2 linked regions of the Saccharomyces cerevisiae S288C genome follow. Changing the gene in region 1 together with any one later gene gives a genetic interaction. Each region holds a gene or a part of one and is shown on either strand. Other genes may lie near its edges.

Region 1 (8,416 bases):
AAAAGAATAATTTTTATGAAATTGAAATGTAAGATGTCGTTTAATTGATAGTTAGAGTTTTTCTATTAATATTTAGATCTAGCAAGTTTCTTTACAGCTACATCTAACATTCAAATTTACGGTTTTGTTTGAATGATTATTACTCTATTGACAAACTGTCTGAACATATACATTTTGGGTGCATTGAAGTATGCACATTATATTAAGACATGTTTAACCATAAAAACAGTTCTTAACTGGTGCGCACTATTGCTGAGTATCCAAAGGAATGATCGTATTTAAAATTTTACATTTGAAAGAAAAACAGGCGGATGCGCTAACAAAATTCTAGCGCTATGTGAATTTTTTAATGCAGGATCCATGATCTTAACCTATGTCTACGAGCTACTGAAGGCCCTCGTTTTTCTATTCGATCACGAGCTCTACTGCTGGGCAATTCCGATGTACTTTAGTCATATCGATGATATAAAGACTGTATTAATATTTGTCAGTTAAATAAAAAAAGTATTTCTTTGGAAAACGTTGAAAATGAGGTTCTATGATCTACTGCGGCAAGTTCATCTTCCAAGGAGAACATAGAATAAATTTGGTACTGGAACGTTGATTAACTCTTCATGAATTTTTTTTAATTAGGAACTTTCATAGTAGATTAGCCAACTATTCTTAATGGTTACTATATAAAAACAGAAAAGAGGGGCCGTTTCTTGTGATATAAATATTACCTGTAATTTTCATTATTATGGTTTAGTTATAGAAGTTCATCATTAAAAAACTATCAGTAAATTTTAATTAAAACTTTCGCGAGAAGAAGGTACATGATCATTTTGAATAAACAAAAAAAATGTTTCGACCTAGTATTCGATAAATAAACATTTATTTGCTGACAATTTTTAAGATTTCATCGTCTCAAAAAGATAATATAATTTATTGTGCACAATATTTTGGATTTCTCTATGAGCAACTCAACGATCTTAGAGAATAATACTATTGTACGTTGTATATAATAAACATTGATAGCATTAGCACTATACAATAGGAAATATTCGACTCTACTTCCGAGAATAATGAAACTGGTCTGATATAATATTTGGATCACCGAAAGCTGGCCAAGAGATTGCTTACTTCCAGTGATGTGGACGAGAAAACCGTGTGACACCGTCCGCTACTTTCTACTATTGTCAGTTGGTCGGTTATTTGTGCTGTGTCATGTATTATGTACCTGGTCGGAGATCTTATAGTATATTTTGAGTATTGCTATTTGGAGTCTTCATAACGGCTTCTATGAAAAAGATTCATTTGTCGATATAAATATCAAATAAATATCATTAGCTCTTAGAAATATTTGAAAAGTACATACTACTTTCCACGAATGTACAGATTTATTTATCAGGCATGCTGCTGATATCGTCACAGTAGTTCAGTAATAATCATCGCTCTTGAATAACGCAAAAAGTATATTCTTAAGCTCATCTGAATGATAAGCCTTTTTCACTTAACATTTGCTTAAAATTTTTAGCAATGTACTGATACTTTCTCCTAAATCAACTGTATTTTAATTCGTTCGGAAATCATGTTTATGTCAAAATTTACTAGCCATTCCAATAATGTATTTATTATTAAATATATATATACTTCAAGGTCTGATGGGGGTGCTGTAGCATTTGCGATGTAGCGATAGCAATTGAAAATAAAGTGGGCTCCTTGTAATAATGCGGCTGGTAAGGTTACATTGCCGTTGTGTTTCGAGGTTATAATAAAGACAGCTATATCATAAAACGAATAAAAAAATATGCGCATGTGAATGACACACGAAAGTAATCGGATTGACGTTGCTTATAACAGGTTGAAAATTAGAGATATCAAACCAAAAAAAGGAAGACAATATCATTGACAGAATTCAGTGTGGCGGTGGATTGATTTAGATTGACTCAAAATTTTCGACATTGTCTGGTTGACGATGCCTTGTTTAATTGCAAAAGGCCTTCGAATTTCATTTTATTTCTTGCATCCAACTGAAACCCACCATATTAAAGCATGACTTTTGCATGACTATTTTTCAGTCTTAAATGCTTCAAAGCCAACAGTATGTCAGTAATTAAGTCCAAACTATTTTCAACAAACGTACCGGTCTCGGCTCATTAATAGAACTTCCGTTCTTCTTTTTTCAATTTAAAACAACGTAGATATATATTTTCATTGTTATATACTCGAAATTAACGTAATTATATAGATCGTGAAAAGTTAAAAAAATCATTTGATTGGTAAATAAATAAGTGCATTATACTGTACGCACAACTAAATAAATAAGGCACACGCATAATTGACGTTTATGAGTTCGTTCGATTTTTTTAATATTCATAGGCTTTCTTGATAATGGCAACCACTTGTTCTTTGGTGAATTGAACTGGGTTAGTCAAATGGCAGGCATCATGCATGGCGTGTTCAGCCAAAATTTCAAAATCTTCGGTTTTAACACCTAATTCTTTCAAGTTTCTTGGAATGTTCATGGTTCTGTTTAAAACGTGCAAAGCCTTGATGGTTTCTTCTGGATCTTCTTGAGAAGCACCGAAATGCAAAGCAATTTCACCTAATCTCTTCTTGGCCTTTGGACATTGCATGTTGGCCTCTTGAACATGAGGCAACAAGACAGCGTTACAAACACCATGAGGCAAGTGGTAGAAACCACCAAGTTGATGAGCAAGGGCATGAACATAACCTAGAGAAGCATTGTTGAAAGCCATACCTGCCAAGTATTCAGCGTAACACATGTCAGTTCTGGCCTTCTTGTCTTTACCGTCTTTGTATGCAGCGACTAAGCTTTCATTGATCAAATCAATACCCTTCAAAGCACAGGCATCGGTGATTGGGTTAGAGGCGGTGGAAACATAAGCTTCGATACAGTGAGTCAAAGCATCTAGACCAGTAGCAGCAGTCAAAGCAGGTGGCAAACCAAACATGGTAGATGGATCGTTGACAGCAACAGCTGGAGTGACGTTGTTGTCAATGATAGCCATCTTGATTTTCTTTTCTTCATTAGAGATAATAGTGAATCTGGTCATTTCGGAAGCAGTACCAGCAGTAGTGTTGATGGCAAATAGTGGTAAAGCAGCCTTCTTAGATTGATTGACACCTTCATAGTCTCCGATTTCCCCACCGTTAGTAGCCAATAAAGCAATGGCCTTAGCATTGTCGTGAGCAGAACCACCACCAATGGAAACAACAATTTCAGAGTTTTGTTCCTTCAAAACCTTCAAACCAGCTGTGACATTGGCAATATTTGGGTTTGGTTGAGTTTTGTCATAGATAGCAACGTTTAAGTCACGTTCTTCCAACATCTTTTGGACTCTACCGGAGAGACCAATAGCTGCAATACCAGGATCAGTAACGATCAAAGCCTTTTTGTAATCCTTGTTTTTGATGTAATCAGCGGTTTCTTCTAAAGCACCTTCACCAAAGAAAGAGATTGGTGGAATGTAAAACCCAGTAACGGAAGACATTTTTCTTATTTGACTATTAGTTGTTGCAAATGTAAACTTGTTGTTGATGGTTGTTTTGCAATAGACAGAAGAAAAACGTTTGACTCCAGTCTTTAATAAACCAGAAATGCTAATAACCCTTTTATACATGTTGGTACGCTGCCCTTTTTTCCTGTTTGATAAAAGAATATATCCTAGTAGTGTGAGATATTTGAGGCAGCAAAATATCAATTGCTTTGTAGAGTTAACGGCATACGTGATCCCAAGCATCTGACATATTAAACACGTACCTCGTGATGCGCGAACTAAAAACTAGTTCTTTTTTTTTTTTTTCATAGCTAATCCACTGCGGTGATACTACAGCCATCATCACAAACACTGCTAACAGTTATAACCATGTCAACATCACACTACAAAAAATGGCCTCCTTGGAGAAAATAAAATGGAAGCTCATTGAAGGCCTCCGGGGATCCTTCTGAACACAAAACGCAATTTCAAATCAGCAGCCTCAATTATACTGGTTGCTTAACCGTGAAGGTTCATTTAAGTACTTCTACTTTTTACAAACGCTCGATAACCTTTCAAGTAGTGCGCATAACAGCTGATGCATTAGAAAAAAATTTTCACACGATAGAACTGTAACGCACTACGAAACTAAGCAATATGGCGTAAACACACAAAGACTAAGGGACTTCTTGATTGATTTCTATCAGCAGCGTTCTCCGAATTGTAAATAATAAGTACATTATTAGTGGGCCTTAGGCAACTCTTTGAAACGGAAATTCTTGTTTACATTTTTCATTTTCCCGAGACGAAGTTTTGATGAGCCACACAATACCGGTAAAGAAAGAAAGAAGTACCTGGAACTAAAACAGTGCTAATTCTTCTTTCCTTTACTTTAGGGGTGGGGACCATCGAAGTGGGGGGAGACAGCAAATCTCTCAATTGAGTAAAATATTCGCATGAGTGTTTGCAAATCCGCAGTGACAGGACAAAAGTAGCCCCAATAGTATTTATCGAATATGAGAAGAAAAAATCGACTGTTTATATTAGTTGTACTACTGGGAATTGTGTTAGTAGTATATTACTCTCAGTTGAATTCGTTAGATTTGGTAGAACCAGTTCAAAGTAGCAGCAGTGGCAATGGTGGCTGCTGGAGTTACTATGAAGGTCTTACGCCTGGGTGGTTGAATGACTTCTACGACGTAAATCAAATAACCCCGAATCCTGCAAAAGATGTGATTGAACTGGTTACGAGGATTAAGATTTTTTTTAATTGCTTGCAGCAGGTTGATGGGCATAATATTCAGCGTTTGAGGGATATTGAAAAGAAGCTCTTTCCGTATATTAACTTTGAAAAATTAGAAACTGATGAAAGTGCCTTCTGGCACACAACTACGAGATGGAATGGCGAGGTTTACCATGCGTCTATGTTGGAATTTGACCCCAAAAACCATCAATTCCTTCGTTCTAAGCCCATCAATTTCGATACAGGGCTATCTTTTTGGGAGAATTGGTTGCACACTGTGACTCAAAGTGGTTCGAAAGGCATAGTTATTAGTGCTTCTGACGTGCAGTTGAATGAAACCATACGCTTATTGAAAGTGTTGAGGTTCATCAAAAATGATTATCCTATACAGATTGTTCATAATGCAGATCTGAGTCAAGATTCCATGAAATCTATTATCAAATATGCGAGAAGTCTAGACACCGCTGAATATCCTGCTCAAGAATTATGGTTTTTAAATGTACATAGTCTGCTAAACCCGAAATATTCGAAAAAATTTACCACCTATTCCAACAAGTGGTTAGCATTGACCTTCTCATCCTTTGAAATTCCTATTCTAATGGACTCAGATACAGTGCCCTTTGTTTCAATAGAAAAATTTTATGAATTAGAGGAATTTCAAAAGACTGGAGTTCTATTCTTTAAAGATCGGGTAATATCAGATGATCTATTTGAATCCTCTGAATTAAAAATTCTAAGGGAAATTGTCTATGGGTGTATTGGGCTTGATTTAGAGGATGAATCCAAGATACATGAGCAAGTAGAGGATCCAGTGGTTGCACAGGTTCTGGAAAACATGTTTATAAAGAAATATAAACATCATTTGGAAAGCGGCCTGGTAATATTGCATAAAGGAAAGCATCTCTTCAGTATGCTTACTTCAATAGCTTTACAATTTTCTCCAATTGCAGAATATTTTCATGGTGATAAGGACTTTTTTTGGCTGGGCGAATTACTTTCGAACAATCGCTTTACGTTCCATCCTGTGGATGCATCAAACATTGGTCAGTTGGGCAATGTAGTTTCAAAAGAGAGTACCGGTGAGTTTTACCAGATTTGTTCTGTGCAACTATCTCATACAGACAGGGACGGGTCCTTGCTATGGCTAAACGGGGGCCTTAATATTTGTAAAAAAACTTCATGGGAATACGATTATGAGCATAGACAGAGACTAAATGATATGTTCCAAAATGCAGATGAATTACGTGAATATTATGCATCACCAGTAAAACTTGAAGGGATTATAATACCAGATACTAGTATATCAGGATGGATTAACTCAGGAGAGTGTTTTTTGTTCAATTATTGCACATTATTCAAGGAAGGTGAGTTTGGAAAGTTGATCAAATTTAAAGAAGACGAAAAGCTCCGGCTTTCACAAATAGTCGACATATGGAATAAAGATATTTGACCAAGAGTTGTTCTAGTCTTATAAGCAATAGGTAAACCTACACGCTTTTGTTGTATAATGTAGTATAATTTTTGATATCTGAAAAATTATCGCACTGAAGTATAACGTAATGTTTTGTAACGAAGTTACTCTTTAAGTAAATCACTCTTGGCATGCATTGGATAACATAGCCATGATGCAACGCCAGCAAAAATCCAAATTGATTGCAATAGGGAACTATGAAAAATCTGGTACTCCCGGCCACGCTAAAATGATTTTCCACTAAGGTGTTCCTAAAACCTTTCGGATCCTTTATGTCTCTGGCATCATAAATGTCTGTTTAAATTAAAGTATATTGAATTGGTGTTGAAATTCAGCATAATCGAACCACTCTCATGTGGGATGTAGCATCATTCTTAACGCTTTTACTATGCGATCGCCACTTTTAAATGTTGGAAATTGTGAATAATTTACTTTTATCTTGTAGGCAAACCGATCATATTCTGCAAAATTTTGAAAATCCATATCTAGATGCACTGTATTGCACTTTTATATTATAAAGAATTATATGTAATAAATCGACAATAAATAACGCATCGTAACAAAAAGAACTCGAAAATTTTAAATCAGGGTCAGAAGAAAGTAGAAATGCCTAAAGGAAATCGATTGTACTTTACAGTTAAAAATAACTTCCGCATGGCTTTCTCAAAAGATTTTTGTCTATAACGAAAATAATCAAAACATATCTATAAGTGAGGATGTGAGAAAAGATTAATCAAAACCAGCTTCTGGTGGACAAACGGCCTTTAGCTGAATGGCGGTACAATAATCTGGTAATGTGTCATCCTTACCGAAAATATTCACAGCTGGGGTGCTTAAGATAACAGAAGCAAAATTTGGGTAACAGGAAGCAACTTGAACGCCATAATCGGTAGAGTTGAACAATTGGTTAGCTAAACCGGTTATGAAGGAAGCGTTATCAGCAGTGTCTGCCCAAGAGTTATATTCAATTTCACCAGTAACAGTGTTAGCAAAAGGAACCATAGCGTCACCAATGGATTGAGGGTTACAAGTGTTGATATTGGTGGTGAAGATGAGTGGAGAAAAGTTCTTTGTCTCGTTACTAGCAATAGTAGTCAACTTTGGGAGGAATCTTGTTTCCTGGCCCAAATATCTTGCCCAAGCATCACCAGCGCTTTCAGTCAAGACGTCGGCGCCAACAAACGTAGATTGACCCAAAAATGTACCGTTTTGACCAACGACTTCCATAACGTAGGTACCACAATGAGGTCCATGTAGGCCCTTACAGGTAACGTTAGTCAAATCAAATCTGACGGTTGTTGCAACAGAAATAAGGACGCTGAAAAAAGTAAAAATGCTTAGGAAACTCATGGTATGGTTGTTGTTCTTGATTTCTTGAGATTGTACAATCTATCAGAAGCAGTAGCTCTCCATTTTGAATGAAAATTACGATGCTTATATATCAATTATACCTGTTATATGCTGAAAACCTTAATGATAATATTAACCTTTTTCTAGCAACTGAAAATACAGATCTGGAATATGTTTCTATATTTCCAACCTCAGCGGTTATTCGAAAAAAAAAATAATTGACCCGCAGGGTGTATAGGTAGTTGATGAAAGTATCATTGTTTTTAATTTATTGTTAAAAGTCCGAAAAGCGAGAATGCATGAAATTACTACCTTCCATTCCAGGAATAGAAGCAACACTAATTCAAAAGCCCGTTTAGGAAAGATCCGAATATTTTGACAGTAGTACGTAATGAATAACCACTCAGGTCATACTAAGACAAATTTTATAACATTTTAATGTGTTCCTGATTTGATTATGCAACACTTTTTTTGACCCAGTCCAAAAAACTGCCGTAATGTACTTCATTGGTTGTCGTACAAGTAAGCTTTAACATGGTTCTCGAAGTCAAAGCACAAACATGCGGCCAATAGGTCAAAATAATGGTAAGATACTGCAAAACTCACTTCACTTGATTGAAAAAAAGTTGCTTATTTCATGACGGACAGATTTAATTCTGGACAATTTGGTTCTGTTGAATTCGGAAATGCTCAGGGTTCATCATGCCATAGTGCCACTTCAATAGAAGACAATACCTTTGAGAAAAAAAGGTACCTTGCATGAGGTATGATGCACGGGTGCACTGTTTAAAAAAACTTCAAAGTATACATGTAAAGATCGCTATAGCTGAGCGGCCAATTAGAAAATATATGGTAAAAGAAAGAAGAAGT
Region 2 (3,719 bases), on another chromosome or scaffold:
CATACAGAAGAAGCCGCGCGCAAGCGGTAAATGTCTTTCCTCCGGCCTTCTAACCACCAAAACCGATCTCGGAACATGGGGGGGGGAAGGTCCTCTGAATCGAAAAACCCGAGACAGCGAGAGGGATTTTGCAGAAAATTACAAAGATCACTATTTACTGCTCCCCTCACTTCCGCAGTCCCCTAATAGCGGAAGATGCAATGGGTGTGGGCTCTGGGTGCCCTTTAACCACGCCCTCAAAAGGGGGTCCTGGTTATTTTGCGATGGGCGCCTCTATAAATACAAAAGAGGAAGTGAGTGTTTTTGTTTTGGAAGAGGGAAAGGAAAAAAAGAAGAAAATTTACTATCGGTTGTTGTTTTTCGCCAGTATAATACAATTGATTATACATTTTGAACTAAACAGCACAGCACAATACAACAATGGATTCTGCCAAGATCATTAACATTATATTATCCCTTTTCTTACCACCAGTCGCCGTTTTTCTAGCCCGTGGGTGGGGTACTGACTGTATAGTGGATATCATTTTGACCATTTTGGCTTGGTTCCCAGGTATGCTATATGCCTTGTACATTGTCCTACAAGATTAAGCTCATTCAATAAACGAAAGTAACTATCAAATGAAATAAGGAAGCAGTATTAGGAAACGGTATCAACATGTTCGGGTCACCCTCATTTTTATTTGTTTCCTTTCTTTTTTTTTGTTTCTCTTTCTCTTAAGGTTTCCTCCCCCGCTGTTAATTTTAACTACGTGTGTATTTTTTAATAATTAATTTTATCACAAAAAAAACTTCTCATCTTTTTTGCCTTTTATCATTTTTGTACTTTTTTCTTCGCTTAAAATACACATGATATAGACGCTTAACTATCTGTCCTGCAAGTTTGTTTATCTATATAAATATAGCCAGTATCATCCGTTTACCTGTGTTGTAGAGTTCCAAAAGATAGAACAGCCTTTTATCAGATGGGTGGCAGACCCTTACCCATATTATCTCTCTTATTTTGTTTTTATTTCTCTCTAGCCTTATAATTATTTTTAGTTTCCTTTCTGTAGCAATAAGTGTTCTTAGCAGTGGCGTTGCGTTGCCTTGACCTTGATTATCAATTTAAGCAGCTTTCTGCTCACAAGCCACTTCAAAACGACTCGTGAATGATTTTTCGATCAATGATATCTTATCATAATTCGGATTTGATAGGAAATCATCATCCTCTTCCTCGTAGTAGGCGTCTTCCCTCCTTTCATTAACAAGTTTATTCTGCTTCACAAATGTAACTGTACTAGTTGAATTCAAACGCCTACTTTTGTTAACACTACCTGAACTAATATCATATTCCAGACCAGCTGTAGTATGATTGATCAATGATTCTGAGGATTCATTTAGCATATTAATTATCTCCTCATCAATAACTATTTCCTCCTTTCCGCTTATGGGACCACTGGTCTTTTCTTTTCCATCTGCCACCGGTAATGATGATCTATTGTAGTGGAATAACTTGCAACCGTAATCAAGCAACCTGCACATGTAGAGGAATAGATCGATCGCGTCCAGTATGATAATAGGCAACAGCAATACGATGACACCCAAAGAGCACATCAACTGGAAAATGCCAAACATTAACATCAGTCCTGATCTTATTTCGGATAATATCCCGCAGTGCCACGTCAAAGATAGTACCTTATCAAAGGCGTGGTTGATAATAACAAGTGCTAATCGGCTATTTGACATGATCTCTTCCTTTCCTGATGAGTTCTTGGTATCGTGATCGATCACAGTTGAACCTATAAGTTTTCTAAGCTTCGGGAAAAAAAACATTGTAACTAAAGGCAATAATGGATGCAGATGCCTGGCAAGGAAGGAAGAAAAAAAGACAATAGAATGCCGTTGGTATATATTCTCCGGCTGCCCCGTCAAAGGACTTCTAAAAACTAATATCAAGAAAATCAAAAAAAAAAATCAAAAAAAAAAATAAAGGAAAAAAAAAGATCTCTATCTTTATGTCGGTAGATATGACACTCCCTTCACGTTTATCATCTCTTGAACCTTTTCTAGTTCATCTACACCGTTCCTATTATCTTTCTTTTGCCCCCTTCTCTTCCCTCGTACATGTTTTCTTGCCTTTTACATTCCTCACGCCCTACTGACAGCTATTGCACTTTGGCGGCACCACTCAGCCAGACTGCCCGTACCCGTACGATGACCTTCCATGCAGCCACGGCGAAACGCAAGACCGAGCATTCGGGAATCAAGGAATCTAACTTGCATTTGTCCCGGGTCCTACTAAGCTCTTTCTGCCGTGCAAAAGGACGTTTCGTTTCGTTTTTCATATGCTATCCATTTCCTTTTGGGCTAACTAGGTTTCCGCGGGTTTTGTGGTCAATAGGACTCGACAAATCATTATTTACGCGCGTGCATTTTTCGCCATCATTCTTTTCCCTTCTTGCACCACTACAATTTTCCGGGATTGTACGATCGTAGGAAACTACTTACCGTCAGCGTTGCTCAAAAAGGCCCACATTATTTTCTTCCGTTAGTCCTGTTTTTATATTGTCCTGAAGTTTCCCGGCGCTAACTTCCTGGCTTTCCATTGAGTTTGAATTGTTGAGTAAAAACTAGTGTGCCATTGCTAGATGAACGTCATTTCCGCCCACACATCGACTGATGAATGACTCCATTTTGAGAACTAGATATACAACAAAGGCAAATAAGCGCAGAAGAAGCAATGGTGGTGTCTGTTCATTGCGAGCCCAAACGCACTTTGCCGAAAGAGTTAATAAACATTACCGCTATACACTACGTAAAACTTAATTCTTGTCTAGATGGATGAACCTGCTTTTTTTCATCTTTAGCGTCAGCTGCAAATAGACCACAACTATCAGTGCCAAAGGCAGATTTGTATCCACCGTCGTCCTTGGCAGGTAACCTATCTGCACTGTCACGCTGAGCCTCCGGCACTTCAGTATTACCGCCCTGGTTCTTCCTTTCTTGATTCGACGTATTGGTTTCGACATCTTGCTCTTCTTCTTCCTCGCTTTCGTCGCAGTTTAAAACGTCAAATAAATTGTTTGAAGGCTCATTTCTCTTCACAGTGACGGGAATGCGATTATTCTTCAATGACTTCGCAACAACTTTCACAGCGGCGCCTTTTAAGCTGTTAACTCCCTTTTCTTCTCCCTTCTCCTTTTCCTCCTCTTTTCCCTTCTCTTTTCCCTTGAGTATACTATCTTCGTTTGATAAAATTGTATTATGGCCCTCTGCAACAGCCACGTTCCTAGTCGATTCGGCGACTTCTCTATTCGATCCGGGGGTGCTAATGTTGCCAATGTGTTCGGCCAAAGAACTTAGTTCTGATTCAATTTTTGAAATTACCATGGAGCCATTTATTCCTTGACCAGAAAATTCGTCTTCAATATCATCGAATATTTCACGTTGCAAAATCTCAGACACATTTATTTTACTATAGTCTTCCACACTTATCGGCTTCATTGGTAATGCAAAGTCAGTGTTTTCCTCCGGACTTGAGTAGTAGAGTAAAGAATTGAATGCCGGCTCCAAAACCCCTTGGGAGGCAATTAAAATGGCTTTAATTAATGTATCATCTACTTCTGGAAATGCTATCTTCAATTCTTTCAAGACACATAATTTCTCTACTGAGGAAACTAAATCGCCTATGGTGGGATAATCGAGAATATTGCTGTCAGTTTTCGTGTTTACATGTTCCT

The links. A genetic interaction does not mean that the proteins touch.
Region 2: of MNT2 (region 1) and TLD1, extra expression of one rescues a mutant of the other (dosage rescue), as found in Saccharomyces cerevisiae (one study listed by BioGRID).

Annotation. Positions count from the first base shown.
Region 1 is NC_001139.9:10,240-18,655, reverse strand, and holds MNT2 (alpha-1,3-mannosyltransferase MNT2), read left to right. Parts: upstream 1-4,498; coding exon 4,499-6,175; downstream 6,176-8,416. Other genes in the region: alcohol dehydrogenase ADH4, read right to left, coding at 2,349-3,497; VEL1 (Vel1p), read right to left, coding at 6,926-7,546. UniProt on the Saccharomyces cerevisiae protein: Mannosyltransferase involved in adding the 4th and 5th mannose residues of O-linked glycans.
Region 2 is NC_001136.10:1,010,345-1,014,063, reverse strand, and holds TLD1 (triglyceride-associated lipolysis regulator TLD1), read right to left. Parts: upstream 1,813-3,719; coding exon 1,105-1,812; downstream 1-1,104. Other genes in the region: PMP3 (Pmp3p), read left to right, coding at 421-588; YDR274C (uncharacterized protein), read left to right, coding at 2,104-2,475; DON1 (Don1p), read right to left, coding at 2,791-3,719.